Macaca fascicularis: one gene and its partners. The protein of the gene in region 1 interacts with the protein of each later gene in a pairwise test. Links are inferred from orthologs where the notes say so. Each region holds a gene or a part of one and is shown on either strand. Other genes may lie near its edges. The genes, in order: C1H1orf35, SRRM4 and FXR2.

The links.
Region 2: the proteins of C1H1orf35 (region 1) and SRRM4 interact in binary tests that used the Homo sapiens proteins (3 or more experiments, as listed by UniProt). The link is inferred for Macaca fascicularis from reciprocal best matches to the Homo sapiens genes C1orf35 and SRRM4.
Region 3: the proteins of C1H1orf35 (region 1) and FXR2 interact in binary tests that used the Homo sapiens proteins (3 or more experiments, as listed by UniProt). The two-hybrid records come from large-scale screens. The link is inferred for Macaca fascicularis from reciprocal best matches to the Homo sapiens genes C1orf35 and FXR2.

What each region holds. Positions count from the first base shown.
Region 1 is NC_088375.1:86,009,315-86,015,733, forward strand, and holds C1H1orf35 (multiple myeloma tumor-associated protein 2), read right to left. Parts: upstream 3,262-6,419; 5' UTR 3,163-3,261; coding exon 3,069-3,162; intron 2,989-3,068; coding exon 2,838-2,988; intron 2,628-2,837; coding exon 2,582-2,627; exon of another isoform or gene 2,500-2,581; coding exon 2,417-2,499; intron 2,332-2,416; coding exon 2,259-2,331; intron 2,115-2,258; coding exon 2,029-2,114; exon of another isoform or gene 1,729-2,028; intron 1,426-1,728; coding exon 1,291-1,425; intron 1,211-1,290; coding exon 1,090-1,210; 3' UTR 714-1,089; downstream 1-713.
Region 2 is NC_088385.1:126,143,520-126,149,838, reverse strand, and holds part of SRRM4 (serine/arginine repetitive matrix protein 4), read right to left. Parts: intron 3,458-6,319; coding exon 3,153-3,457; intron 1-3,152. UniProt on the Homo sapiens protein: Splicing factor specifically required for neural cell differentiation.
Region 3 is NC_088390.1:7,648,420-7,654,738, forward strand, and holds part of FXR2 (RNA-binding protein FXR2), read right to left. Parts: intron 6,275-6,319; coding exon 6,181-6,274; intron 4,795-6,180; coding exon 4,678-4,794; intron 1-4,677. UniProt on the Homo sapiens protein: mRNA-binding protein that acts as a regulator of mRNAs translation and/or stability, and which is required for adult hippocampal neurogenesis. Specifically binds to AU-rich elements (AREs) in the 3'-UTR of target mRNAs.

The DNA of each region.
Region 1 (6,419 bases):
GCCATCTTTATGCCATGCAGTCTGGTGGCCACACACATCCTGAACAGCCCTGATCCTTCTTAGGGCCAGGCAGAGGGGACACCCACCCCATTGGCCCGGGAGAAGCAGACCTGGGGGTTGGGGCAGCAGGCAGTTGGTGGAGTCCCCCAACCCCCACACCCAATTGAGGCTGTGCCTCCACAGACTATAGGGCTCTCTGCCCCAGGTTCCCACATTGCCAGCTGAGCACCCGCTTCCATGGCCTCGGCCCTCGCTGGGTTTTGGTGGGGCTCTGGGCACACACGGGAGGACTACATTCCCCCAGGACATTGAGAATCAGATGGACGCCGTGGCTCACGCCTGTAATCCCAGCACTTCGGGAGGCCAAGGCGGGTGGATCATCTGAGGTCAGGAGTTCGAGACCCAGCCTGGCCAACACAGTGAAACCTCGTCTCTACTAAAAAATACCAAAAATTAGCTGGGAGTAGTGGCAGGCGCCTGTAATTCCAGCTACTCAGGAGGTTGACAGGAGAATCGCTTGAACCTGGGAGGCAGAGGTTGCAGTGAGCTGAGATAGTGCCATTACACTCCAGCCTGGGAAACAAAAGCGAAACTAAAAAAAAAAAAAAAAAATCACCAGGCCTCAGACTCCTGGAAGACAGACCCCAGCTCCAACCTCCCAGTGGGATCTCATTTAACTCTTGACACTGACCTTCCAATTAGGATGATACACCTTCCTTTTAAAATATATTTATTGAAATACAAAGAGTCAATGTAAGGAAAAATAGAGGTCACCATACTTGGCCACAGTTAGACCGCTCATAGGCCCATGGCTGCTGTCTCTACTGGCAGAGGGAGTCCAGCTTCTACTGGTACCTCTGGGCAGGTTCACCTTCACAGGGCAAGCCAGGGACCATCCCCGCTATGTGAAACCTGGAGGTTTTCCAGAGCTAGCTGTCTAGCCATTAGCCCCACAGGCTGGTGCCCAGAGCCACTTCCACAGGAGCAGCCCCGGGCTTCACCCACACACGAGGGGCTTCCGAGGCAGGAGGCAAGCAAGGCAAAGGGAGAGTTCAGGGTCCCACAATAGCAGTGAGCAGGGTCCAGCCATCAGGCCTCAGAGCCTCTGTCATGCCACCTGCGAGACGGACTTCTCCTGTCCCCACTGTGTCCCCGCTTCCTCCTCTTACAACAGGGGGAGTTGGAATAGGAGTCGTGGTGGTGCCTGGGCCTGGGGAGACCAAGGGCAGTCACTCAGAAGGAGTCAACCAGGCTCCCACCCACAAGAGGCAGACATAGACCAGGGCATACCTCTCGGGAGATGTGGGAGAGGAGGCAGCCTCAGCTGGCTGCCTGTGCTCTTTGTCTTTCTTCTTCTTCTCTTTCTTGTGTTTCTTCTTTTTCTTTTTCTTCTTCTCCTTCTTGCTTTTCCTGTGGCTCTCAGAGCTACAAGGAGGATACAAGGCGCACCTCAGACCCTAGTCTTGCAGGCCAAGAGAGTGAACACAGACCCCAACCAGGAGATGAAGCCACCACCCACAAGTGCGTCTTTAAATCAGTTAAATCAGACTACCAATTCCACTCCTCAGTAATGCAGTCACGTGGCCAGTGGCTGCCCTGGGTTAGAAACTGATGCGATATCCCTATCTCCACAGCACGGCCCTGTTACACCCCAGCTGTGCCCTTGACAGGTTGACACCTTCCTACTTGCACCCACCAGGCCACTCTTGGGGTCAGGCCCAGGCTCACCACCCAAGAGAAGCCCTGGAGGTGCCACCCATGGAAGGAAAAGGCCCCGCCGCAGGTCCTGAGCGCCCTCCCACGGCGCAGCCCGCGACCACTGCCAGTACTTAGGACCTCTCTTCAAGGGTGACCCGAGAAACTCCCCTAGAGAAAAACCTAGGAGTAAGTGGGACAGGAAGTAAAGTAGGGCAGGCCACCGGCCGGGCCGGTGCGCCAAGAGAAGCTGCCACCTGCCGGAGCGGGAGCCGCTGAGGTCCTCCCGAGACCCCCTCCGGCGCGCAGCTCGCCCAGTAGGTGCAGCCTCACCTGCTTTCCGTCTGATCCTCCGCCCGCGGCTTCCTCCTGGCCGAGGTTGCCGAGGTCCCGGGCCCGCCGCTCTCTACGCGGTGATGCTGCGGGAGAATCGCGCTCTGGGGAAGAGTCTGAGGGCCGGCCCCACACCACGCCCCGCAGTGCCCCGGGGAGCTACGTTCAGTGCCCCCGCCCTGCGCCACCCCTGTTGGCCCCTGTTGCGGTCAGGCGGGGCGGGGAATTACCGTGAACACAGACAGCCCCAGTTTGGCGGCTTCCTTGTCCTCTCGGGACATCGCCACGCGGCCCACGGAGCCACTGCAGGAACACGGCGATGAAGACAGTCCGTCAAGGGCCCGCCTCACCCGAGCAATTCTGCCCTCCCCTGGAAACCTGCTCGCACCTGGCGCTCCCCAGCCCCAGCAGCCGGTCCACGCCCTTCTCCTCGGGGTCGCCTCCTTCCCGCTTGCAGACCTCCGCGAAATCCTGCAGGTGCGGGAGCACAGGCAGCGTTCCGGACGGCCCCACACCCACGGCCCTCCACGTGCCCCCCACTCCAGGGAGTTACCTCCTTGCTCAGGCCCGTGGGCTGCTTCTTCACGTTCTTGTAGCCACTGCGAGAGGACCAGAGCAGGCGTCAGGACGGACAGACCTCCTCCCACCACGGGTCCTCACCACTCCAGCCTTCATCCTGAGGGTCCCACCCGCGCAAGTCCCCGCAGCCCCGCCCCCGCCCAGCCCGACCCCCAGCCCCCGCCCCTGGCCCCACCCTGCCCCGGCAGCGAAGTCCCAAGCACCGACCGCTGATGTCCGCGGACACTCACAGGGCGGCCAGCAGCGCCTCCCGCTCCGCCTCCCGCACTGCTGCCAGTTCCTCCTCGCGGCTCGGGCCCGCGCACGGCGCCCGGCCCTTGGCGTACCAGGTGAGGTCGCGGCCCTTCTGCCAGCGGCCTACGGGCGCCATCAGCGAGTTGCCTGCGGACGTAGGCGCCGTGAGCCCAGCGCCCCCCGGGAGGCCGCCCGCCGCGCCCACCGCGCCCACCGCGCCCACGGACCCAGGTAGTTCTCCCGCTGCTTGTCAGTCTTCACGTCCTCCCAGTTGAACTGGTCCTGCCCGCCGCGCACGCCTCCGCGACTGGAACCGAACATGGCGCCCGGGAGGCAGTTGCCTGGGGCCTGCGGCCTGCGACCCGCAACCCCGGACCCTCTGTACCCACTACCGTAGGACCCAGGCCCGACCCCGCCTTCGCGTCGCGCGCCGTGACGTCACCCGGCGCCCACCCGGCTTCGCCCCGCGCGCCTGCGCAGCGCACCGCCCCGGCTCTGTGCTCCCGCGCGTCACCTTCAAGCAGGCTTTGGGCGCCTGCGCACTGCGCCTATCCTGCCCAGCGCGGGAACGCCTCTGAACTGTACGTTTAAAAATGGTTAAAACCGGCCTGGGCGCTGTGGCTCCCGCAGCACTTTGGGAGGCCCAGGCAGGCGGATCGCTTGAGGTCGGGAATTCCAGACTAGCCTAGCCAACATGGTGAAACCCCGTCTCTACTAAAATACAAAAATTAGCCGGGTGTGGTGGTGCACACTTGTAATCCCAGCTACCCAGGAGGCTGAGGCAGGAGAATTACTTGAACCGGGAGGCGGGGTTGCAGTGAGCCGAGATCGCGCCACTGCACTCCAGCCTGGGCGACAGAGCGAGACTCTGTCTCAAAAAAAAAAAAAAAAAAAAAAGTTAAAATGGGCCAGGCGCGCGCTTGCTTGCGCGCCTGTAGTCCAACGCTTTGAGGCTGAGGCGGGAGGATCTCTTGAGCCCAGGAGATCGCGCCACTGCGCTCCAACCTGAGCGAGTGAACGAGACCCTGTCTCATAAAAAAAGAAAACACACAGGATGCGCCTAGCTAACACCGCCAATTGGTCACTGCCAGCCGCGATTCCATATGGGGAGCTTAACAAGGTAATGCCCTAATGATTTGTGGAATTTCTGAGTATTACCCAGTAAACTTCTGGATGAACCAGCAGCTACCCAGACACCCTCAGAGCACTGGTCCCATCCTTGCTGTGGTAAACTGAATGTGCACCCTAACTCCCACGTGAAATCCCCAACCCAAGGCGTTGGTGCTTCGGAGGTGACTAGGTCATGACGACAGAGCCTTCATAAAAGAGACCCGAGAGCTTTGTGCAGCTTTCCACTGTGCGAAGGCAGCGGGAAGTCTGTAGTCTGGAAGAGACCCCTTCCCAGAACCTCAGCATGATGGGCACCCTGATTTTGGAGGTTGTGGCATCCCCCTGCTTCACCTTTCCACTTTCATTCCCAGTGGTGACCAAGAAACAGAGTCCCTTAGCCGCTCTGTGACCTCGCCAACGGTATAATTTCGTCTGCAGACTTGAACCTGAGCCATAGCCATGAACGTTCCCAGGCACAGATGACAGCATCTAGGTTGTTGCTCAAAACACAGAAAGAAACTGGACCCAGCCTGAGCCAGATTCCTTAAACCCTCATATAAACTCCATTCGACAACCCCCTCCCCATGGACATACCTAGAGAGAACATTCATTTCTCTCACCACCCGTTGCAAGAACTGCTGCAGCCCACTCTGTACAAAAGCCCTGCTAATAAATGCTCTGGGCGCATTACCCTGGCATGCTCAATCTTTCTGTAGAATCCTAACCAGCCCCATCTCAGCATGGTGTGGGGCACTCCCTTGTGGGAACTCTACTGCCACCACTTTTGGGGCAATTCCAGCCACAGGTTGAACTGGATGAAACACAGGTCTAGTGTCCAGAACTGTGGGAAATTTCTGTTTCTTAGTGACCCAGTCCATGGGTCAGGCTGTTAGAGCAGCCTGGCAGACAGCCCATCTGGCTCATCTATCTACTTAGCAAGTACCGGCTGCCATCTCCCTCATGAGGTGCTGTGTGAGCTTGCATCATGGAGCAGGTGCATGGCAAGGGCAGAGCAGCAGGCCACAGCCTGGCACACAGAAGGTGACTGGCCCACTCCTGGGAAGGCTTCCTTGGGTGTAGGGCATCAACTCCTGGGTGCAATTGCGGCTTGCCAGGCCAGGGTGGACTTCGGCCATGTGGGCAGGGCCCGGCTGTGGAGTGTGACCACTGACTGGATATCAGGTGTGGTGGAGAGGGGATAGCAGGGCCAGGTGGACGTTGGGAAAGAGTCCAGGACGGCTCTGAGGCTCTGGTCTGGGCAACTGTGAGGATGAAGCAGCCACCTGTCAACAAGAGGACCAGGTTTCTGGGGAAGACCTGGTCAGTTTTGGGCCCATTAGCCTGACAAGCCATAGGCCACAGGAGGAGGGGTCACCGCGGTGGAGGTTGCATGGCCTGTGCCTGCTGGGTGGAGTCCCAGCTGGGGGCACTGATCACAGTGGTGTCCTCTGTGACAGCAGCAAAGCTGGACCCAGGAGGGTGGAGGTGAGGGAGTAAGTAGAGGGACAGTGGAGTTCCCAGGGGAACCCACTATAGAGGGAGGAGGCTGGGTACACTGGAGGAGGGGGCCAAGTGACTGCACAGTGTGGCCGGGCAGCTGGCTCTATATGCCACAGGGATTGAGCCACAACTTCAGAGACGGGGGCTCCAGGGAGGCTGCTCAGGAAGTAACCCTGCAAGGCAGAGTCCCAGGCGGCCACACAGCCCATCCATGTGAGGTCAGGCACTGCTGGGTCACAGGGACAGGGGACATCCCTTGCAGGCTCTTCTCAGCAGAGCTGAAGGCCGGCAGGATGAGCAGAGGGCCAGGAACAAACTTAAGGGACAAGGGAAGGGCCTGCGAGGTGCGGACATTGCCCAGGCTCCTCAGTTACAAGCACTGTCATCACAGGGGCACGACAGTACACTCTGACCTGCCTGGCAATCCCAGAACACCACTGCAAGAAGTGTTTGTTGGGCACTCCAGGTGTCAGTGAGACAGCCTGCCAGCTGGGACCCAGTAACACCCCAGGACAGGGACAGGAAGCAGTCCGGGCCCTGAGCTGTCCAAAACCTGGGCTGATGTGTGTGTGAAGGTGCCTGCACATCAGCTGGAGCTGGTCCTAAGTGAAATCAGCCTCTGGACAGATGGAGCAGGGTCTGTGGATCTCCCTGGGTTGTGCTTTTCAGACCCCATTAGCAGTCAAGGACAACCAGGGCTGGCTGCTCCTCTGGGGACCCTCCCAGGGCAGGACCTTCCCTGGGGCAGCCTGGGAATGCAGGGCCAGGGCAGGGAGCTGCAGGCTGTGGTCCAGATGGTCCTAGGGCTGCCCCACCAAGGTTGATGCCTGAGTCCCAGAACACCCAGGCCCTCCTAGGAACCAACCTGAGGGCCACTGTGCTGTCAGGAGGGCAGTCGCCTTGGTGCCTCTGAGGCTGGGAAGGCACAGCTTAGAGCTTGGAGGTATTGGGTACTGCCTACACAGTTG
Region 2 (6,319 bases), on another chromosome or scaffold:
ATGATCCGCCTGCCTCAGCCTCCCAAAGTGCTGGGATTACAGGTGTGAGCCACTGCACCCAGCAACCAACGCCATTATTACCCCCAAATTTACAGAGAAGTATCAGAAGGGTTTGTTATTTGCTCAACACCACCCAGAGCCTCAAACCCTGATCTGTGCAGCTCCAGAGCCCACACCCCTCCCACCTCACCAGCTCCCTACCTTCAGTGCCTATGGTTCCTTTGATTTAGAGCTGAGGTCTCTTCCACTCAGTCCATATTTATTGAGCCCTCTCTGCTCATAAGTGGCATGACATAAATAGCTGTGGACTCAACCATCATTTATATTTCAAAGTGAAAGGCTGGGTCTAAACTATTTAATTTGGCTGTCCATGGAGATCAAATTAAACAGGTAACTGCTAGATGTCTCTCAGGCTTTAGTTCCTTTTTGGGGGATTTATTTGCATTTGAATCCTGGTGCTGCCACTTATTAACTGAGTTTCTCAACCACTCTGAGCCTCAGTTTCCCCATCAGGTAAAAAAAGGGTTACAAATAGTACTATCCCATAAAAGTTTTGAGGAGCTGAGGAAGATTATTTCTGGAAAGCATTTGGTAGTGTACCTAGCATGTGATTTGGGCTCCATGAATATGAACTGCCGTTATTATTGTCGTTGTTACTGCTATTTCAACTTTTCCTGCATAATAGCACTGCAGTATATCAGTAAACATGTGTCCTCCTCCTCCCTTCTGGGAACTTCACTGCCTGTTCTTGGAGACACTGATATTCGCCCTGGCCCAGCTCAGGTTCTCAGCCAAGCATGGGTGTGGGCTGAGGCCAGGGATGACCTGGGGCAGGCAAAAGGGAAGACTGTTCTGCATGTGAATGTCAAGCTGTTTGTCCAGGACTGAAGTGGGGTATGTGTTAGGGACAAAGAGTACTCTGTCTTTGAAGAAGCTGTTAGCTGCTTCAGTGCTAAGGCTTTAGTGATCTTTTGAAAATCTTGGCTACATGGAACAAAGGCAAACTCCCACCCTCAGAAGTAGAAAAACCTCACCGTTAACATGACAGAGGGCATCAGCAAAGCTTTTCCACCCATCCTGCACCTGTGCATCTGCCCCATGAATTATAAGCTCCTGAGAAAAAGGAGACTGTTCCATTTTATATCCCCAGCACCAGGCTGAGTGTCTGGTAGAGAAGACTTGCCTGATAAACAAGTTGAGGAATAAATAACAGAATGAATGGTACAGACTAAGTGATCAGTAAATTGTAGTAGCTATTATGATGACAGTACCCTCAGTAATTAGCATTTTGTTGTGATTTCTTGAGTGAGAGAGTAAGCGGGTGACGAAGTAGAATTACAACTGGCTCATATGCAACTGTATGGAAGAGTTTTCTGCAGGAAAACTGTATCTAGTGAGTGTGTTAAGATGGGTAAAAAAATGGAGAAGTCTCAATGTTCTCTGATATGTTGATAAATTATACTATGGTATATCTGTATCTACAATTAATAAACTTTATTTTTTAGAGCAGTTTTAGTTTCATAGCACAATTGAATGGAAAGCACAGGGAGCTCCCATACATTTCTTGCTGCTACACACGCACAGCCTTATTCCCCACTATCTGTATCCTCCACCAACGTGCTCCATTTGCTACAATCGATGAACCTCCGCTGACACATCATTATCACCCAGAGTCTATAGTTCACATCAGAGTACCCTGTTGGTGTTATACATTCTATGGATTTGGACAAATGTATAATGACAGTTATCCACCATTGTAGTATCACACAGAGTAGTTCCACTGCCCTAAAAATCCTCTGTGCTCTGCCTATTCATCCCTCCCTCCCCTCACCCTCTGGCAACCACTGATCTTTTTACTTTCTCCATAGTTTTGCCTTTTCGAGAATGTCATACAGTTGGAGCCATGCAGTGTGCCACCTTTTCACATTGGCTTCTTTCACTTAGTAATATGCATTTACGTTTCCTCCATGTCTTTTCATAGCGTGGTACCTCATATCTTCCGAGCACTGAATAGCATTCCATTGTCTGGACATATCACAATTTATGTATTCACTCACCGACTGAAGGATATCCTGGTTGCTTCCAAGTTTTAGCAATTACGAATAAAGCTGTTGTAACATCCAAGTGCAGGTTTTTATGTGGAGATAAGTTTTCAATTCATTTGGGTAAATACGGTGATATGTTCTTAAATGACAGTGACTTACAGTGAATTTAATGTTAGACTTTCTTTCTTTCTTTTTTTCTTTTGAGATGGAGTTTCACTCTTGTTGCCCAGGCTGGAGTGCAACGGTACAATCTCGGCTCACTGCCACCTCCGCCTCCAGGGTTCAAGCAATTCTCCTGCCTCAGCCTCCCTAGTAGCTGGGATTACAGGCATGCGCCATCACACCCGGCTAATTTTGTATTTTTAATAGAGACGGGGTTTCTCCATGTTGGTCACGCTGGTCTCGAACTCCCGACCTCAGGTGATCCGCCCGCCTCAGCCTCCCAAAGTGCTGGGATTACAGGCGCGAGCCACCACACCCTGCCAATGTTAGACTTTCTTCTAAGATTATTAGTAAAATTGTCATCTGCTTTTCTGCCTGCCTAGCCTCCATCTCTTCTGATACCAATAACCTGGCTTTTCCTATAGAGGAATGTGGGAAGGTTCTACTCATTAGCCCTAGTGATGGCATGTGACACATTCTGGCCAAGAGCATATCATCCCCTGGGACAGTGATGGACAGATGACCTAAGCTGGGCCAAACAGAACCAATGAGCACCTGCCCTGGTGTTTTGCCGAAATCTTTGAGAAAGAAGCACTGTTCTCCTGTTGGCTGGCTAAACCGATAGAATGTTAGCTACTTGGCATATTTGACAATGTTTTGGGAGGATCTGCTTGAGAATAAGGCCAGTAGAATGAGGAAGCAGAATAAGAGATGTAATGAGAAAGACAGATTTCCAGCAACATATTTTTGAGCCCCTGAATCCAGCTGTACCTGAAGCTAGTGCCACTAGCGTTTTAAAACAATTAAGCCAGTGTGAGTTAAGTTTTCTCTCTGTTACAAATAAAAGAATCTTGGGGGTGGAGTGGGGGAGGCTGGGATGAGAGCATGAGAAGGTGGAGCTAAGGTGGGAGACTCTCTATCCCCCACCCCGTGCAGTGCACTGACCTTGACTCTCTGCCCCTGCTGGTTGGGGAGAGATTCTCCAACATGGCCCCCTTGTTCTGGGGTGAGGAGGTGGTGAAGGAGTTCCCTGAATCAGAGGTGTTGCCACTGTTGAGCTCCCGGCTCTTGCTCAAACCCCCGCTGGGGCTCCCCTTCTCCTGGCCCCGAGACCGGGCTGAGCTGGTTTGCGTGGAGGGTGGTGAGGACGTGTCATTGCCTGAGTCGTACTCCTGGGAACGTCCTCGCGAGGTGGTGAGCGGGCTGGCTGTTTTGGTAAAGAGGTCAGCAGCAGACCCCGACCCAGTGATCTGAAAGCAAAAAGACCCGTTGGACACTGCTGAGCGCTGGGCCCATGGGCTGTGTCTAAATAACCAAGAAATGTTTACCGTCATGATGCACTGTAACGAAAGGAAAGAGAGAGAGAGGAGAAGAAAGAAGAGACGCCAAAAAACAAAAGCACAAATTCCTGAAAGAATACCACAGAAAGGAGATTTTTTTTTTTTTTTTACCCCCTGCTAGGATAACTGGAAGATTTAGGTATCATGCAGAGAAAAAGCATGCGATTCAGGTTAAACAAAAGAAAAAGGAAATTATACAAAATTTAATTTCTAATGAATTAAACAAAAGAGTCAACTCAATAGAAAGGGGGTGTAAACACCCTTAACTCAACCTAAAACAATAATAAAAAATAAAGGAAAGGGAAGGGGAAAAAGAAATGGAACTATGGGCCTGAAAAAATATATCTTGGAAATCAAAAATAAAAGCAGGTAAAGCCAAAATTTTAAACTTCAACCAAATCCTCAATTAATTTAACAATTTTTGGTTTTGAAAAGAAAAAGTTGCCTGAATAGAACCCTAAACAAATATCACATGGGGAAAAGAAATGAAATAAAGATGAGAGTTTGTTTTTGTTTTTTTAAATATAAAGTCAAGGTCGCAAACTGACATTTTAGCAGTTTTCAACTAAAGGGGAAAAGAAAGGAGGGGACAAAAAAAAAAATGGAAGTCAAATAGTCTGACCAAAAATAAATGAAAAAAAGGGTCTCTATAGATATTTGTGTGTGTCCTTTTCCCCTTGTAGAAGGTAGCTAAGGTTCTTGAGTGGCTTCTAATAAATTCTCTCATGTCTTTGCGGATTATATCCACTTACCAAGCAAGAACTCCTCCTTTAGTAGGTAGGTAAGGTGTAAGAGAAAGGGAAGAGCGGGCAACGTGAGTCCATCATTAGAGTCGCAATTGACAAGAAAAAACACACACCTTTCTGCACATCCTCAAACTTGGCCCTGAACTTTGAGTTTTGGTTTTTTCAGTGCCCTTGACAGGTGGGGGCATCAATTCTGTTTGGTTTTGTCATAAAGGGGACCTAACCTAGCCAACCTAATCAATCCCTTAGGGCCCAAGTTGGAGCAGGAAACCCTTGTGGAATATGCCAATGGCAGCTAGAGTATGGCATCTACTACCTAGGTGTGAATGTCGAGGGGGCACGAGGGAGGGAGGATGCGAAACAGAGGGCTTTGGAACGGGCTTGGAGATTGGGCTTTGGGGTGACTGGGAATAAAGAGGGGCCCCCAGAACCCTGTCTAGGGCTGATCTAGGACCAATGAAGGAGTAAAGGAGGCGATGGAAAGCCAGCACTTGGGAAGGTGAGCACACTTTTAGAAGCAGGATGGTGGTGGGGCGGGGGGGGAAGGGGCGGTTTCTTTAAATATTCAGTCCTGTTGTGGCTGGGATGACACAGTAAGTTTGATGCTGGCCTCTGCCAGCAGTACCACGCTCAGCTGTGGATGGGAGGGATCCCTGCCCTGGGCCTCCTCCAGAGATAACCATCCCTATGGGATGAGAAATCTGGGGAACCAAGAAGGCACCCCCTTAAGACTACTGCCTGCCTCAACCACTCTCTGGATATCTGAGATCCCAGAATTCTCTGTTTAAATGACTCCTATGCCCCTTTCCAGGTCTCTGTAGGCCTCATCCATGGATCCATTCTCCTGCAGGGAGAGCATGCTTCAAGTGTCCACACTCCTAGGTCCAAGGGTAGCTATTTGGACAGAACTTGGATGTTCAGGCTGAGGGGTCTATATGCATGTGTGTAAGCCCCATCATGGTGCTGGATGTGCCAGATTCAGGGAGAGAAAGGGATAGTTCCGGGGCCAGATTCTCCCCCAACTGCTATGTCACATCCTGGCACTCTGAAATGGTCCAAGATTCTAAAATCATAACTAACTTTCCGATCATTTTGAAGGTATGTTTACCAAGATAACAGAACATATTTTATTAAGTTTGCTGACTTATTTATGACCATTTAGACATCTAATATACGGATCTTCTTCTATAACTTTGCTCTGACGTCACAAATGTTAGGGCAGGCTTCACCATAAAGAGCCTACTCTTTCTCCCAACTTTATCTTGTGCATCTTGGCCCTAAAGGAGGGGGCGCTTCTGGAATTTCTTAAGAACCATTTCTGCCTTCTCAGCAATTGGTCATGTGGGTGAAACACAGACACAGTGGAACTGTGAGACTAGCATAACTCCAGCGCTCAGGGTGTCAGCTCTTGGGGCCGGGGAAGCAGGGATTCCTTTGTAGATTCTCCCAGGAGGCTTTGCACACAGGCAAGGTGATAGTCTAGCTTTAGCAAGTTCTGTCCACCACAGCTGCCATTTTACCTGCATGGCACCTTGGATAGCTTTGCTTTGGGAAAAGGGACCTCAAAATAAGTTTGCTCTGGTGGAGTCTTTTAGAGTGAGACTTTTAAAACAACAATGTAAAGGCCCTGTTCCCATTCAGTCCTCCTATTTATTTGTCTTCTTGTTTTGCGTTTTGGATGCCACATCTTTCTCAACTCTGGAGTTCAGTGGTAATACATGTATCTCCACCACCCCTGTCAGGAATGTATCATGCCAGACAACTAGACCCTGAGATCTGTGATCTCTGGCTTGGGCTTGGTACAAGAATGGGATCATGGAATCTTTGCCCCAGAGATGGTGAATGGTTGGTAGCCAGGGTGTTACAAGTGAATCCAGCAAGCCCGTCTTGGAGGGAGCTAGGCTGGAAGAACTCAAGGACAGGGGCCTGTGAGTACAATAATTTTCATTATCTTGTGGTTTGCTACCTGGAGGCTGCCAGGCTGGGCCTTTCTCTCCCAGGTACTTGTTCCTAGTCTTGACTACGA
Region 3 (6,319 bases), on another chromosome or scaffold:
TGGTCAGGAGTTCAAAACCAGCCTAGGCAACATGGTGAAACACCGTCTCTACTAAAGAAACAAAAATTAGCCAAATGTGGGGGCGCATGTGCCTGTTATCTGAGCTACTCAGGAGGCCGAGGCACAAGAATCGCTTGAACCTAGGAGGCAGAGGTTGCAGGGAGCAGAGATTGCACCATTGCACTCCAGCCTGGGTGACAGAGGGAAACTCTGTCTCAAAAAAAAAAAAAAAGAAAGAAAGAATTAGCCAAGTATGGTGGCGTGCACTTCTAATCCCACCCACCCAAAGGCTGACATGAGAGGATCACTTGATCCTGGCGGGTGGAGACTGCAGTGAGTTGAGATCCTGCCACTACATACACTCCAGCCTGGACAACAGACTGAGATTCCATCTCAAAACAAAAAACAAAAACAAAAAATAAAGTTTGTATTATCTGAAGGTAATAGTAAATTTTTCCTGCCAGTGCCCTGAGCAGGATCCCTGAAGAAGTCAAAGATTATCATGACCCAGCAATTGCACAGCCACAGAAAAAAGCCTCCCAAAAAGATCAATTCACTTGATAAATGGAAATGGGTATTCAAATACACACACCCTATTCACTTAGAATGTTATACTACCAAGGAAAGGGAATCTGACAATTACAGGATGTCAGAATTCAAAAAGATCTCATAGAAATACTCTAGTCAGGCTAGGCGTGGTGGCTCACACCTGTAATCCCAACACTTTGGGAGGTTGAGGCCAGCGGATCACTTGAGGTCCATAGTTCGAGATCAGCCTGGCCAACATGGTGAAACCCCATCTCTACTAAAAAAGACAAAAATTAGCCAGGTGTGATGGCACACACCTGTAATCCCAGCTACTCGGGAGGATGAGGCAGGAGAATTGCTTCAATCTGGGAGTTGGAGGTTGCAGTAAGCCAAGATAGTGCCACTGCACTCCAGCCTGGGCGACAGAGACGCTATCTCAAAAAACAAACAAACAAAAAAAAAAACAACAAAAAAAGAAATATCCTTTTTTTTTTTTCTGAGATGCAGTTTACTCTTGTTGCCCAAGAGTAATCTCGGCTCACTGCAAGTTCCACCTCCTGGGTTCATGCCGCTCTGCTGCCTCAGCTCCCCAAGTAGCTGGGACTACAGGCGGCCGCCACCACGCCCGGCTAATTTTTGTTAGGCTAATTTTTGTATTTTTAGTAGAGATGGGGTTTCACCATGTTGGCCAGGCTGGTCTTGAACTCCCAGCCTCAGGTGATCCACCCTCCTCAGCCTCCCAAAGTGTCGCGATTAGAGGCGTGGGCCACCGCGCCCAGCCATATCTTTTTTTTTTTTGAGACAGAGTTTTACTCGTCCCCCAGGCTGGAGTGCAATGGCACAATCTTGGCTCACTGCAACCTCTACTTCCCAGATTCAAGCAATTCTCCTGCCTCAGTCTCATGAGTAGCTGAAATTACAGCCGTGTGCCACCACGCCCACCTGAATTTTGTCTTTTTAGTAAAGATGGGGTTTCACCATGTTGACCAGCCTGGTCTCAACTCCCAACCTCAGGTGGTCTGCCTGCGTCAGCCCCCCAAAGTACTGAAGTGCTGGGATTACAGGCGTGAGCCACTGCGCCCACCCTAAAAAAGAAATATACTAGTATAGGCTGGGTGTGGTGGCTCACACCTGTAATCCTAGCACTTTGGGAGGTACAGGCAAGTGGATCTCTTGAGTCTAGAAGTTCAAGACCAGGGCCGGGCACAGTGGCTCACGTCTGTAATCCCAGCACTTTGGGAGGCCAAGGCAGATGGATCATGAAGTTAGGAGTTTGAGACCGGCCTAGCCAACATAGTGAAACCCCGTCACTACTAAAAATACAAAAATTAGCCGGGTGTGGTGGCACACACCTGTAGTCCCAGCTACTTGGGAGGCTGAGGCAGGAGAATTGCTTGAACCCGGAAGGCGGACGTTGCAGTGAGCTGAGACCACGCCATTGCACTACAGCCTGGGTGACAAAGTGAGACTCCATCTCAAAAAAAAAAAAACCATTCAGCCCAGCATGGTGTCTCACGCCTGTAATCCCAACACTCTGGGAGGCCAAGGCAGGTGGATCACGAAGTCAGGAGATCGAGACCATCCTGGCTAACATGGTGAAACCCCGTCTCTACTAAAAAAACATACAAAAAAATTAGCCGGGCGTGGTGGCGGCCGCCTGTAGTCCCAGCTACTCGGGGAGCTGAGGCAGCAGAACGGCATGAACCCAGGAGATGGAGCTTGCACTCCATCTCCATCCAGCCGAGATCACGCCACTGCACTCCAGCCTGGGCAACAGAGCGAGACCCTGTCTCAAAAAAAAAAAAAAACACAAAAATACGTTCAAGACCAGCCTGGGCAATATGGCAAAACCACATCTCTATTAAAAATACAAAAAATTGGCCAGGCACAGTGGCTCACGCATGTAATCCCAGCACTTTGGGAGGTGGTAGATCACTTGAGGTCAGGAGTTCGAGCCTAGCCAACATAGTGAAACCCCAACTCTACTAAAAATACGAAAACTAGCTGGACATGGTGATGGGCTCCTATAATCCCAGCTACTCCGGCGACTGAGGAGGGAGAATTGCTTGAACCCAGGAGGCAGAGGTTGCAGTGAGCCGAGATCACGCCACTGCACTCCAGCCTGAGCGACACAGCAAGACTATGTTTCAAAAAAAAAAAAATTAGGCTGGGTACAGTGGCCCACGCCTGTAATCCCAGCACTTTGGGAGGCCGAGGCAGGTGGATCACCTGAGGTCAGGAGTTCAAGACCAGCCTGGCCAACATGGTGAAACCTCATCTCTACTAAAAATAAAAACATTAGCTGGGTGTGGTGGTAGGCGCCAGTAATCCCAGCTACTTGGGAGGCTGAGGCAGGAGAATTGCTACAATCTGGGAGGTGGAGGTTGCAGTGAGCCAAGACTGTATCACTCCATTCCAGCCTGTGCAACAGAGCAAGACTCCATCCAAAAAAAAAAAAAAAAGAAAATTAGTTGAGCATGGTGGCACACGCAAGTAATTCCAGCTACTGAGGAGGGTGAGGTAGGAGAAACACCAGAACCTGGGGAGTCAAGGCTGCAGTGAGCCATGTTACTCCAACTTGGGCAATGGGAGTGAGACCCTGTCTCAAAAAAGAAAAGAAAAAACGAGGCTGGGCGCAGTGGCTCATGCCTGCAATGCCAGCACTTTGGGAGACCGAGTTAGGCAGATCATCTGAGGTTAGGAGTTCGAGACCAGCCTGGTCAACATGGTGAAATCCTGTCTCCACTAAAAAACACAAAAATTAGCCAGGCGTGGTGGTACATGCCTGTAACCTCAGCTACTCAGGAGGCTGAGGCAGCAGAATGGCTTGAACCCAGGAGGTGGAGGTTGCAGTGAGCCGAAGTTGTGCCATTGCACTCCAGCCTGGGCAACAAGAGAGAAACTCCCTCTTGAAAAAAAAAACAAAAAAGAATAAAAGAAATGTTCTAGTTTACCTATTAAGTTGTGAGAATGAACAAATAGAAAAAATATTTTAAATATAAAATTTAAAAAAAGAAACACTCTAGCCTACCGACCTCACTGGCACAGATGAAGATAAATCTCAGCGTAATGAAATTATTTGCCAAAAGACAATTATTTGACAAGACTTAGCATTCCAAGTCCAGTGGTATGCCCAGTGTCCAAATGGTTCTCAAATATATCCTGCAAAGTCGTTTGGTTTCCACAGGTGATTTGGGGGTGTTGGTGGAGGTAAGAGCCATGTCCACTTTCCACTTTTAGACAGAGCTGCTCTGACTATTTTATGCATTGTGGTTCCAAGCAACATTTAACTTCATCAAAAAGGGTGCCATCGGCTAGGTGTGGTGGCTCACGCCTGTAATCCCAGCACTTTGGGAGGCCGAGATGGGTGGATCACATGAGGTCAGGAGTTCGAGACCAGCTTGGGCAACATGGCAAAATCCCATCTCCACTAATACAAAACTGAGCCGGGTGTGGTGGCGCATGCCTGTAATCCCAGCTACTCAGAAGGGTGAGGCATGAGAATTGCTTAAACACAGGAGGTGGGGGTTGCAGTGAGCCGAGATCATGTCACTGCACTCCAGCCTAGGTGACAGAGCGAGACTGTCTCGAAAAAATTTAAAACAAATTGGTTAAAAGAAATCTGAAAATAATTGTACTATACCATGATAGAGCTCTGTCATCTGGAGGAGTCTGAGATAAAATAATAGCTGAACCAGGTTTTTTTTTTGTTTTTTTTTTTTTTTTTTTTTTTTTTTGAGACGGAGTCTCGCTCTGTCACCCAGGCTGGAGTGCAGTGGCCGGATCTCAGCTCACTGCAAGCTCCGCCTCCCGGGTTCACGCCATTCTCCTGCCTCAGCCTCCCGAGTAGTTGGGACTACAGGCGCCCGCCACCGCGCCCGGCTAGTTTTTTGTATTTTTTAGTAGAGACGGGGTTTCACCGTATTAGCCAGGATGGTCTCGATCTCCTGACCTCGTGATCCGCCCGTCTCGGCCTCCCAAAGTGCTGGGATTACAGGCTTGAGCCACCGCGCCCGGCCCTGAACCAGGTTTAACTGCCCAGAAAAAGCCTTAGTCTTTGTTCTGTAAATGCAAGAGCATGGATGGAGGACAGGGTAGGAAGGGAGGAAGACAGTATCTTCAGCAGGAGGAAAAGGAGCTAAAAGTTACCTCTAGGTGCTTGGTAGCTTCTTCATTTCGGGACATAAGTAGCAGTTTGGTGCGCAGGCTTCGGAAATGCATATCACCCAGCAGAGATGCTCGCTTCACAGGGGCTTCTGTGGTTGACTGTGAGGAAACCGGTGGGAAAGTCATTAAAACTGGCTTGGAATAAACACTGAGGGAGAGCCAGGGACTAGAAATCAGGATGCCTAAATCTCGGGAAAAGGGTTGAGAAATGAAGCTAGCAGGCTGGGCGCAGTGGCTCATGCCTGTAATCCCAGCACTTTGGGAGGCCGAGGCAGGAGGATCACGAGGTCAGGAGTTCGAGACCAGACTGGCCAAGAGGGTGAGACCCTGTATCTACTAAAAATACAAAAATTAGCCAGGCGTGGTGGTGCACGCCTATAATTCCAGCTACTCCAGAGGCTGAGGCAGTAGAATCGCTTGAACCCAGGAGTCGGAGGTTGCAGTGAGTCGAGACTGTGCCACTGCATTCTAGCCTGGTGACAGAGCAATACACCATCTCCAAAAAAAAAAAGAAATGACGCTAGGAAGGAGGAGACTCACTGTCAGTCCCACAAAGGCTGACTATCCGGGTACTGAAGGACAATGGTTTAGAGAGAAAGCAAAGAGCAAGCATAAGGTGAGAGCTACATACTCTATTTCTGAAAGTCCAAGTATCAAGAGAGGGTCTCCAACCCAGATGGCAACATGATTATCGGGTTTAAAAAAAAAAGGTCAGAGGCCGCGCATGGTAGCTCATGCCTGTAATCCCAGAACTTTGAGAGGCTGAGGTGGGTGGATCATGAGGTCAGGAGTTCAAGACCAGCCTGACCAATATGGTGAAACCTTGTTTCTACTAAAAATACAAAAATTAGCTGGGCATGTTGGGTGCGGTAGCTTATGCCTGTAATCCAAGAACTTGGGAGGCCGAGACGGGTGGATCACAAGATCAGGAGTTCAAGACCAGCCTGGCCAAGATGGTGAAACCCTGTCTCTACTAAAAATACAAAAAAAAAATTAGCCAGACGAGGTGGCAGGTGCCTGTAATTCCAGCTACTCAGGAGGCTGAGGCAGGAGAATTGCTTCAACTTGGAGGGCGGAGGTTGCAGTGAGCCAAGATCACACCTTTGCACTCCAGCCTGGGCGACAGAGTGAGATTCCACCTCAAAAAAAAAAAAAAATTAGCCAGGCGTGGTGACGCACACCTGTAATCCCAGCTACTCGGGAGACTGAGGCAGGAGAATTGCTTGAACCCTGGAGGTGGAGGTTGCAGTGAGCCGAGATTGTGCCATTGTTCTCCAGCCTGGGCAACAAGAGTGAGACTCCGTCTCAAAAAAAAGAAAAAAAAAGGTGGACTACCTGGGCCTGTAGGAGTCAGAAGCAACACAGTCCTCTCTGACGAATAAATATAAGCACATTTAAGCCCTTTCCTTTCTGCAAAGGGGTTAAAAGGGGAAAAAGAAAAAATGTTCAAAGGGCTTATGTGAAATTCAGGCAGAATAAACTCACCAGAATGAAGAGTTCACTGTTTGTGATGTTGAGAAAGATGCAGTTGGCTCCCAGCGCTTTCTTGAACTCTTTATGGACGTTTTCATTGGAGCAGCTGCAGAGGAAAAAAGTACTCAGAGGGCAGAATACAGAGAGTACA